Xenopus tropicalis: one gene and its partners. The protein of the gene in region 1 purifies or fractionates together with the protein of each later gene. This does not show direct contact. Links are inferred from orthologs where the notes say so. Each region holds a gene or a part of one and is shown in the gene's direction. Other genes may lie near its edges.

What was found. Proteins that work in one complex are often made in the same cells at the same time.
Region 2: the proteins of ago2 (region 1) and gemin4 purify together in Homo sapiens (affinity purification with western blotting; 4 studies listed by BioGRID and IntAct, with this or other methods). This does not show direct contact. The link is inferred for Xenopus tropicalis from reciprocal best matches to the Homo sapiens genes AGO2 and GEMIN4.
Region 3: the proteins of ago2 (region 1) and ddx20 purify together in Homo sapiens (affinity purification with western blotting; 3 studies listed by BioGRID). This does not show direct contact. The link is inferred for Xenopus tropicalis from reciprocal best matches to the Homo sapiens genes AGO2 and DDX20.

What each region holds. Positions count from the first base shown.
Region 1 is NC_030682.2:146,755,577-146,759,785, forward strand, and holds the start of ago2 (protein argonaute-2), read left to right. Parts: upstream 1-1,387; 5' UTR 1,388-1,625; coding exon 1,626-1,647; intron 1,648-4,209.
Region 2 is NC_030678.2:96,483,726-96,486,418, forward strand, and holds the end of gemin4 (gem-associated protein 4), read left to right. Parts: coding exon 1-268; 3' UTR 269-2,183; downstream 2,184-2,693. UniProt on the Homo sapiens protein: The SMN complex catalyzes the assembly of small nuclear ribonucleoproteins (snRNPs), the building blocks of the spliceosome, and thereby plays an important role in the splicing of cellular pre-mRNAs.
Region 3 is NC_030678.2:59,584,989-59,587,423, forward strand, and holds part of ddx20 (probable ATP-dependent RNA helicase DDX20), read left to right. Parts: intron 1-183; coding exon 184-266; intron 267-890; coding exon 891-996; intron 997-2,324; coding exon 2,325-2,426; intron 2,427-2,435.

The sequences.
Region 1 (4,209 bases):
GCCCGGCCCGTATGTCAAATTTTCAAAGTCGATGTGGACCCTGAGCCAAAAAGTTTGCCCACCCCTGGGTTAACTTCTCAGAGGCACCCCACCCAGTTTGGTTTTAGTTCGAGAAGTTACAACACCATTCGTTTTCCTTATGTATACATCTTTTGACTTTTACTTTACACCTCCCAGCAGCTCAGGACTCTGAGAAAGCAAGACCCCGACCCGCACAACCCCCCTAACGCCCTCCCATTACCTCCTCCCCCCTTCCCTAAAGGAATGATACACAATGAATCATACTTGTATACTTTATTGATGTAACCACACACAACTTTGTGAATCATTGACTGTAATGTTTTATGATCAATAAAAAAGTTAAAATACAAAAAAAAAAAAAAGAAATTGTGGGATTCTTTCCCTGAAGGGCTGGTAATGGCAGATACATTAGATAGCACTAGGAAAGGGTTGGGCGCCTTCATATCAGTGGAAAAATACAAGGTGTGTAACATTGAAAGTGACCATACACGGGCCAATTTCATCTGCCAATAATGGTTCTTTAGACCAATTCAGCAGCTTATCTGCCCAAGTTTGGGCACCCGACCAACATCTGGCTGAAATTGGCCAGCTTTCAATTGAGCAGGTTTGATATTTCTGTGGGATCCGACAGTGCCTGTTACTGCCGTCTAACCACCCGTCGGTGGGCATATTGGGGGAAGATCCTCGCCAAACAATCAGATCTTAAGTGTATGGCCACCTTAACTGTTAGCCCAGGTCCATCCATGAGAAGAAATAATCTATACACTGCTGTCTGGTTACTGGGTACCACTCACCTTAGCAACCAGACAGTATTTTACATTTCCAAAAGAAATCAAATAATAAAGAAATTCTAAAAAAAAAAATGCCCTTCAAATATTGGTCACAAACGCAGAACCGTATAGTCATTATATTTATTACAGGGTGTATGGCTTATGGGGCTGCTCAGCCTAACAGACAAAATGCAGATGACGAAGACCAGACATAAACAGTCCATTGTCCGTCAATGTAATCGCTTTAAGCCCTCGGATAAACACAGTTCGCGGGCAAAGGCAAAGTTTAGCGCTTTATCGATTTGCCCATACCCAATATGGCAGAGCACTCACTTCCGGCGAGTAACCCAGCGCCGCTCATTATTGTTGAAAAATAACCAAACCCGCCGCGTCTGGCCCCGCCCCCTCCCCCTTATTTCTATTACAAGCTAAAGAGGAAAAAAGCTCCGCCCAGCAACAGCCGCTTTCCCTTTTCTCCCCGGCCAGAGCTCCGCCCGCGTCGTGTGACGTCACCCCCTTCCCTCCAATGCGCCGAGTTCCCGCCCCTTGACGTTGCGTGTCCCGCCCCCCAGCCTCTGTCCGCCGGCCGTTTTCCCCTCAGTTCATGTCGCGCAAAAGAAAGAGAAAAAAAAGGAAAGAAGCGAGAGAAGCGAGAGGCGGGAACTCGGCGTATTCCCTCCCACACACCGTGCCTTACACCATGGAGCCCTAACGGACTGACTGGCCGCTCTCTGAGGGGTTCTGTGCACAGCGAAGGGGGCGGGACTGGCTGCGTTACCCCCTGTGTCTGGAACTTTATTTTCCCCCTCGCACTTCGCTCTTGGGGCCGCAGACATGTACGCCGGGGCCGGGCCGGGTGAGTTAGCGCTGCTTTATCCCAATCCCACTGCGCTGGGAGAGTCAGGGCCCTAGAAGCCCTGGAAACGGCGGGAGGGCCGCCTGGTCACATGGGGAGCCGGAGTGGGGGTCATTCCAACTTGTGCCTCTCCACCTGTCCTTCTACTCTCCAGCTGCTAGGAATGCTGGGAGCTGTAGTTCAGCAACAAGTGGTGACAGAGGGGGACTATCAGTTTGCAGTTGGTCTTTATTTTCATGATATTGTGTGTTTAACTGTTTTAGTGCTGCATTTCAATGCTGACCTAGGAACCCTAAATTGTAGTATGGAGGCTGGGCATATATTGTTTATTATGTATCTTTCTATTGGGTTTCCCCGTATGTTTATCATTTGTCATTCAGACTGCGGTGTAGTTGCTAGGGAACGTGGGGCCTTAGTAACCAGGCAACCATTTTAAATTCCTAGCCGGAGAACAAATCGCAAGTCATTAAAAAGCAGGAAAACTAAAAAAAAACACAAGTGCGAGTTGTAGTAGGAATACTTTGTCTGAGGGGTCCCCAACCTTTCTTACTTGTGAGACACAGCCAAATGTAAAAAGACTTGGGGAGCAACACAAGCACCATAAATGTTCAGCCAAATAAGGGCTGTGATTGGCTATTAGGCACCTCTATGCACCCTATCAGCTTACAGGGGCTTTATTTGGTAGGAAATCTTGTTTTTATTCAACCAAAACTTGCCCCCAAGTCAGGAATTCAAAAATAACTCCCTGGTTTGGGGGCACTGAGAGCAACATCCAAGGGGTTGGGGAGCAACATGTTGCCCTGAGCCACTGGTTGGGGATCACTGTACTAAAGGCAATGTTAGGGTGAGCTGCTACTCCGACTAACAGATTGTGGATTCATTTTAATTGTGAGCGTTTTGTCCTACGTAATTGTGACCCAGACACTCTTGCATGTGTAACTATGAGCAGCGCTGGTAAATTGGATTCATCTGAAGGAAAAAAATTGCAAACCAGTAGGTAAAGGTGGCCATACACCTTCAGATTCGCTCGTTTGGCGATGTGGTCAAGCCAGCGGATCTTCTCCCAATATCCCCCACCTACGGGTGGGCGATATCGGGAGAATCTAGGCTAATTTGACTTGAATTATAACGACGGGTATAGGCAAAGTCGGTCCGGGGACTGCATCAACTAGCCAATGTGGTCCCCGATCCAACTAGATTTTCTAACCTGCCCGATCGAGATCTGCCCGATTTCAGACCAGATATCGGTCGGGCAGGCCCGTCGGTAGTGCCCATACACGGGCAGATTAGCTGCCGAATCGGTCTAAGGGACCCATATCAGCAGCTAGAATCGGCCCGTGTATGGGGACCTTAAAACTCACTCAGTAGCACGATTCAGCAATGGGTGCACATCCAGCAGGGGCCCCCACTCCTGGACACTTGCAGCCATAATATCAATATAACACCCCAAGCTTGATAGAGAGCCAATAAGGCTCAAAATGTTGCTGTTGCCGTTGTAGTGATAATAGTCATTTTAATGCTATTATGGAGTGCTGCCTGTAACGGTTTTAAAAAATAATTGTATGGTGTTTTAAAGGACAAGGAAACCCATGTGTGTATCATGTACCCCCTGCAGAGGTTTCCATCCCACCCATACTGCCCAGATCTGCCCTGTGCCTGTTAAACAGATGCAGAGTTGTGTAGTGGCAATGGGGGCTGCCATCTTGGGATGCACAACTAGAACTTGGAAAAAACAAAGTGCAGCAAATTTTCTGTATTAAAAATTAGCAATGGCTGCCGTCTCTGGCCGCTTGATGTCCAGCTCTCTTGGGGCGGTTGTTGGCCAGGAGCCTGTGCAGTTGAGGTCAGAATCAGACAGAAGTGGGCACAAACACCAATGCACTAATCTGTGTTTTACTGAAAGGTCTTGGCAAAGAAACAAGGGGGGTAAAGGTGGCAATAAACAGGCCAATTCTAGCTGCTGATATTGGTCCTTTAGACCGATTCGGTGGCTTATCTGCTCGTGTATGGGTACGAACAATGGGCCTCCCCGACTGAGGCCCTGAAATTGGCCAGATGTTTGTGCTGGTTTGGTTTCTCCGTTGGATCATGGTCCGCGTTGGCTTGTTGACGCAGTCCCTGAACCGACAGCACCTTATACCCGCCATTCTTATTCAATCTTTTGGCCCCAGGGCCAAATTAGCCCAATATCGTCCACCCGTGGGTGGGGATATCGGGAGAAGATCCACTCGCTTGGGGAGCGGATCTCACCATGTATGGCTAGCGTAAAGGTGCATGATTTAAACATGGCTTAAGTCACATGATAGTAAGGGTTCTGAATGGGGTTCTGTTAAAAGAAAGGTTTTGTGTGATTGGGCTGCCTGCCATAGTCCAGCATATACTGCTAGTTTGGCTGCTTTTGAATGGGAGCATTGCACGTGTGTTTGTTGCAGGGAAGTTGGAGTGTTAGCTCAGCTGGGGCATTAGCCGGTATCCATTATACATTCTCTGTGCAGTGTTGGGGCTCTGGAATGTACGTGCACCAGTTGTAAGGCTTTCTGTGGTTGGTGTTGCTGGGTTCCT
Region 2 (2,693 bases), on another chromosome or scaffold:
CTATGTTCAGGAGGCTTCCTTCTTTTATATGCAGGTATTCTGCCATGTTCTTCATATTATAGCAATGATGCCGGACAATACATGTGAGCCGCTTTATGTACTTTCACTTGAGATTCTGTCCCTGTATGAGACTCTAAGGGCAAGTGACACTTCAACAGACAGTTTTCTCAGAAGAGCTAACGAGAGGCATTTCTTGAAATCCATTACTGAGAATGTAAGTGATGAGCACCATCGCACAACTCTAATGCAAAAAATTAATAAATTGTAGAGAAAAACTTCCAGTGTGAGGAAAGAAACGTTTTTGAAAAAAACAGTGGTACATGAAACCTTTATCTAGCTGTATATTTAATAAATATTAACACCTAAAAATATAAGGATTAAGTACCCCCTAGTTCAAAAATTTATGGCTATTAAGTCACCAAGGAGCTGCAGTACTTTTATTGAAGTCATAAAAATATATGACACAAATAACATTTGTAAGAATTTGTATTACAAGTTATTGGATAAGTACTAAATTCTGCATTTAATAAGAAATTTAAACAAATCCCAGACTATTTATTTCAGGATTGAGATACATCTTGAGAACCTGGCCAAATTGTATCTGAACATTTCATTTTTTGCATATGGTGGAGTAGGAACAGGATTAGGTGAAATCTTTTGTGGCTAATTCAGTAAGTCATACTTTTTTCAGTTTTAACTTAGTATAGAATACTATTTTTTTTTTTTAGTTGAAATGTAATATCTTTCTTTATACGACCTGTTCTGCTGCGTAATTGCTTAGACCAATGCTACACAGAGCATATTCTCTGCCTGGGCACAGGTACACACAGTGAAATTTGGCATGAAACTGCTTGTGTGTGAGGATAAACACAGGCTCAGCCCCATGTGGCACTGGCCTAATACAAGGGGAAATTGCTTCCAACCAGTTTTAAACTACAAAAGCAGGCATAATTTACCCAGGTATGTACAATATAGCATAATACAGAAATCTGAAAATAGCATTTTGTACAAACATCTTGTATTTAAGCCATCAATGCTTAAATAGATAATATGCTCCTCTACACTTTTTGACATGAGCTTATTTATTTTGTTTTTTTATTTATTACATATTGCTGCTGTAAGTACCGGTTCCTAACCGCTTACAGCTATCCAACCCCTCCCTCACCTTGTTTCTTAAAGTGATAGATTATAGCATTTTAAGTCCTTCTGCTTTATAGAGGGGAAGTTCAAAAATTCTTTGAAAAGTAGAGGGAGTCCAAGTCACAGAATCCATCACTTCACAATGGAACAGGACGAAGGAGGGGTTGCATTACACTTTTTTTCAAAAAGCGGGATATGTTTTCCTTATATAGTCTGTAATCAGTCTAAGAGGATTCATTTTATATTTAATATACTAATATAAAACCATGGCTTGCCTTTTCCTTACTTGCCTGACGATGGGTGGGTTGCATTCTCCTGAAACGTTGATGCACGGTTGGTCATCTCCCTGACTGCATAAATAAGCGTGGGTGTCACTCCTTTAATATCACTATAGTCTTATTGTGGACCTTGCCTGGTTTAAAAGGAAGCTAGCACCAGTAGTCAGTTAAGACAGTGGGTGTGCAGCATATATCCTCATTGCCTGTTTCCTACCCATTATGGGATTTGCAAGTTATAAGATAAATATAACCATTAGTATGATCTATATCAGTTTTACTTATACTGATTCACATGTGCCTTTTTTGTTTTAATGTGTTTAAACAGACTGTTTTTTGACCAGAAATTCTGTGTAATACTTTCATATAGTTCCAAATTCAAGGTGTAGGACAAGTAAAGAATGAACAGAAAAGCACTTTGTTTTTTAAAGTAACGTAGCATGGAGTAATATATTGCAATAATGGTACAGTTATGGGTCACACGCATTACTTTTATACCAGCTAGATCTGAGCCATCCTGGGCTGCTATGTGTGCTTGGAGCCCTATTTGCATCTTAATAAATAAGGGTTTCCTTGTTAGCAGCTGCCTTGTCTCTTTCGGAGTGCTCTCAGACCCTGCACTGTTTTTGCTAGTTATTATCTGCAAATTCACATCATACTGTATCGGAAATTTGCAGAGTTTATTTCTCTAGTGAGAGCACCAGGGGGTATAATGTTATGTTAGCACTGAAAAAAATACAAAAAAATAAAAGATTTAATATAGATGCAGTTCAATGTGTCTGTCTTGATTTAATATACTGCATTTTTTCCTTAGGTTATTAAATATGAAGGTAATGTCTCCAATTGGTTGAAAAAAAACAAATCCTCTAATCCATACTGCGAAAAGCCATGGAGTTTAAGTTGTGTTTTGGACTGATTTATTGAGAAATTCCTCCAAAATCCCACTAGTCCAGTCCATCTGTCCCACTTCCTGCTGGCTGAATTCTCTGGATGTGCAAGGGAGCCAGCGGCTCTCAGAACACTGCATTGTAGGATATAAACCAATCAGCAGCTAGGCTGACCTGATAGGGAACTGAAGCATGTCTTTGCTTGTGTGAGTGCAGGGCTGTGGTTGGCTATCACCCTCTTACTGTGCTTCTGGCAGGGACTGTTAGGACACGCCCACTCTTCATTTGCAACACGGACAGAGAACTTATGGGATCTATAGGGAGTATGGATGCAGCGAATCCTGGATTTGGTTCGGGATTCGGGCTGGATCCAGCCTTTTTTGAAGGATTC
Region 3 (2,435 bases), on another chromosome or scaffold:
TATATCCTTATGTTTATGTAGAGATGACTATATCCTTCACTGCAAATAGACTAGAAGCTGTGCCAGAATGTACAGTAGTGTGGCAAAAAACTCTATCCTGTATTCCTTGGGTTATTTTAATGTGAATTTATTAATTTCTGTTTTTAATTAGCAACCTTACTAATGCAGCTTTGGTATTTCTAGGTAGCATGAATCAAAACCAAAGGCTGGATGCTGTGGCCAAACTCAAGCAGTTCCATTGCCGGGTCTTAATTTCTACTGATTTAGTAAGTGACTAACCTGATAATGATTTGGGCTTTAACATGCAGAATTCTCTTAAAAAAGGCAGCTAGTATAATTTATTGAAAAAGAGTAAAACTTTTTGATCTAAAAGACACAGACGCCATTTTTTGATAAACTAGGATTATCCCTTGATACAGTGGAAGGCACAGAGGTCCCTGACATAGCCTGCTGTAGTTATTGATAATTACTTGCTGCCTTTCATTTTGGAAGTGCTAAAAAGAAATGAATTACAAAGAACTGTTGCATTGTAGAGCTCTGCACACTCTATTGATTCACTTTAATGTGAGTACAAACAGAATAAATTCACTGTAGAATTCTTGACTGTAGCAAACAGTATCTTATTAGTCTGAAGGATAGCTAGGAAGAGTTCGGTAAGATTGAACTGTAATTGCTAGGATTTTCATTCTGCATTAGACTTGGAAGTTAATTGAAGGTGTCAAGTGGCTACTGTTAAAAAGGACCCTCAAGGCTAGAAACACATTTTGTAGGCTGAAATATAAAAATCAACTCTCATGTATTAGAAGTATAAACAACGGACAAAGGTTTTTGCTTTTTATTCTAAGGCTGTGAAGGCAGAACCTTTTTTTTTTTTTTTTCTTTCTTTAAAGACTTCGCGGGGGATTGATGCAGAGAGGGTGAATCTGGTTATTAATCTTGATGTTCCAGAGGACTGGGAAACCTATATGCATCGAATTGGAAGAGCTGGACGGTTTGGTAAATTATAAATACTTTACCTTTGGTGTGTGCTTAAATCTGTTGACTGTAAAGTATTATTCTGTAGTAGTGCTGGGCGGTATGACCAAAAATTTATATCACGGTATTTTTTTTATTATATCGGTATCACGGTATTTGACGGTATTTTTTTTTTCCCATGCATGATTAGGTGACCACCCCAAACACCCCCCCATCCAACCCCAAACACCCCCCCATCCAACCCCAAACAACCCCCATCCCCTTCACATAAATAAACCTTACGGGCCAGGCAGCCGCAGGCACCCCCGACAGCTCACAGAGCCTCCTGGCAATTTTTCTTACTATTTACGGGTTGCGCACGTGACGTCAGCGCGCACAACCCGGAAATAGTAAGAAAAATTGCCAGGAGGCGCCCACACCGGTATGCCGGTAAGTTAAAATTTTTTATCATTTTAAAAAAAAAAAAAAAACGGTGTTCGGTGTATACCGCCCAGCACTATTCTGTAGGTGTGCCTACTTTGCCTACGTAGTATGGACACTGGGTATGCCTACACATGGCAACTCTATCCCCTGTTCTACTCTATAAAAAGACTACATGGCTTTTTTTTATTTGCTTTTTAAAGGGGACCTGTCACTGACAAAGACAATAGAAAATAATTTGAGATTTCTTACAAACATAATAATCTTCACTCACACTATGTAAATAATATAAATTTTGTTTTCTTCAGTCTTGGAATTCACAATCCATTCTAAGAAGAAAGCAGGGTTATTCTTTCATTTTTATCACTAGCGCCCAATTTTTTTAAAAACATTGAAGCTGTAGCAGTTACAATTTACATGCACTTAGCCATTTTTCTTTATTTTTAGGGCTAGAAATGTAAAAGCTTCAACATTTTCAGAGCAGTTGCTAATGTAGTAATGGAATTTTGGTTAAAGTAGTAAAATGGTACTGACAGTACTACTTACAGTAGCATTTCAGTAACTTTGTCAAGATTATCGACATTAATACAATATTATGAATTTCTTCTTGTTTTGGCAATAAGAAAAGGATGCTATTTTTCTAAGTGCATTAATTGAGTGAGGTTCTTTATAAAAAGCAAGATGAGGGCAAAAAAACTGAAGTTGAACTGAAAAATATCCCTTCTTATCCTGTTATAGATGTAGGAGTGTTTGAGATGGAATAAAAAATACCATCTGTTGAACAGCTCCTCTTATTAGTTTTCTTAACCAGTTGCAAAAGGTAATTCATTCCCATGGTTCAAGATGTTTTGTAGCCTTGAAGCTTAATAAGGCTTGCTGTACAAATTCTAAAACTCTAATCCATGTGTATAACTACTGAATCTTTGCAGGTACTCATGGCCTCTCTGTAACTTTCTGTTGCCATGGGGAAGAGGAGAATATGATGATGGGAATTGCAATGAAATGCAATCTTAAGCTTTTGCCTTTACCAGGTAAAAACC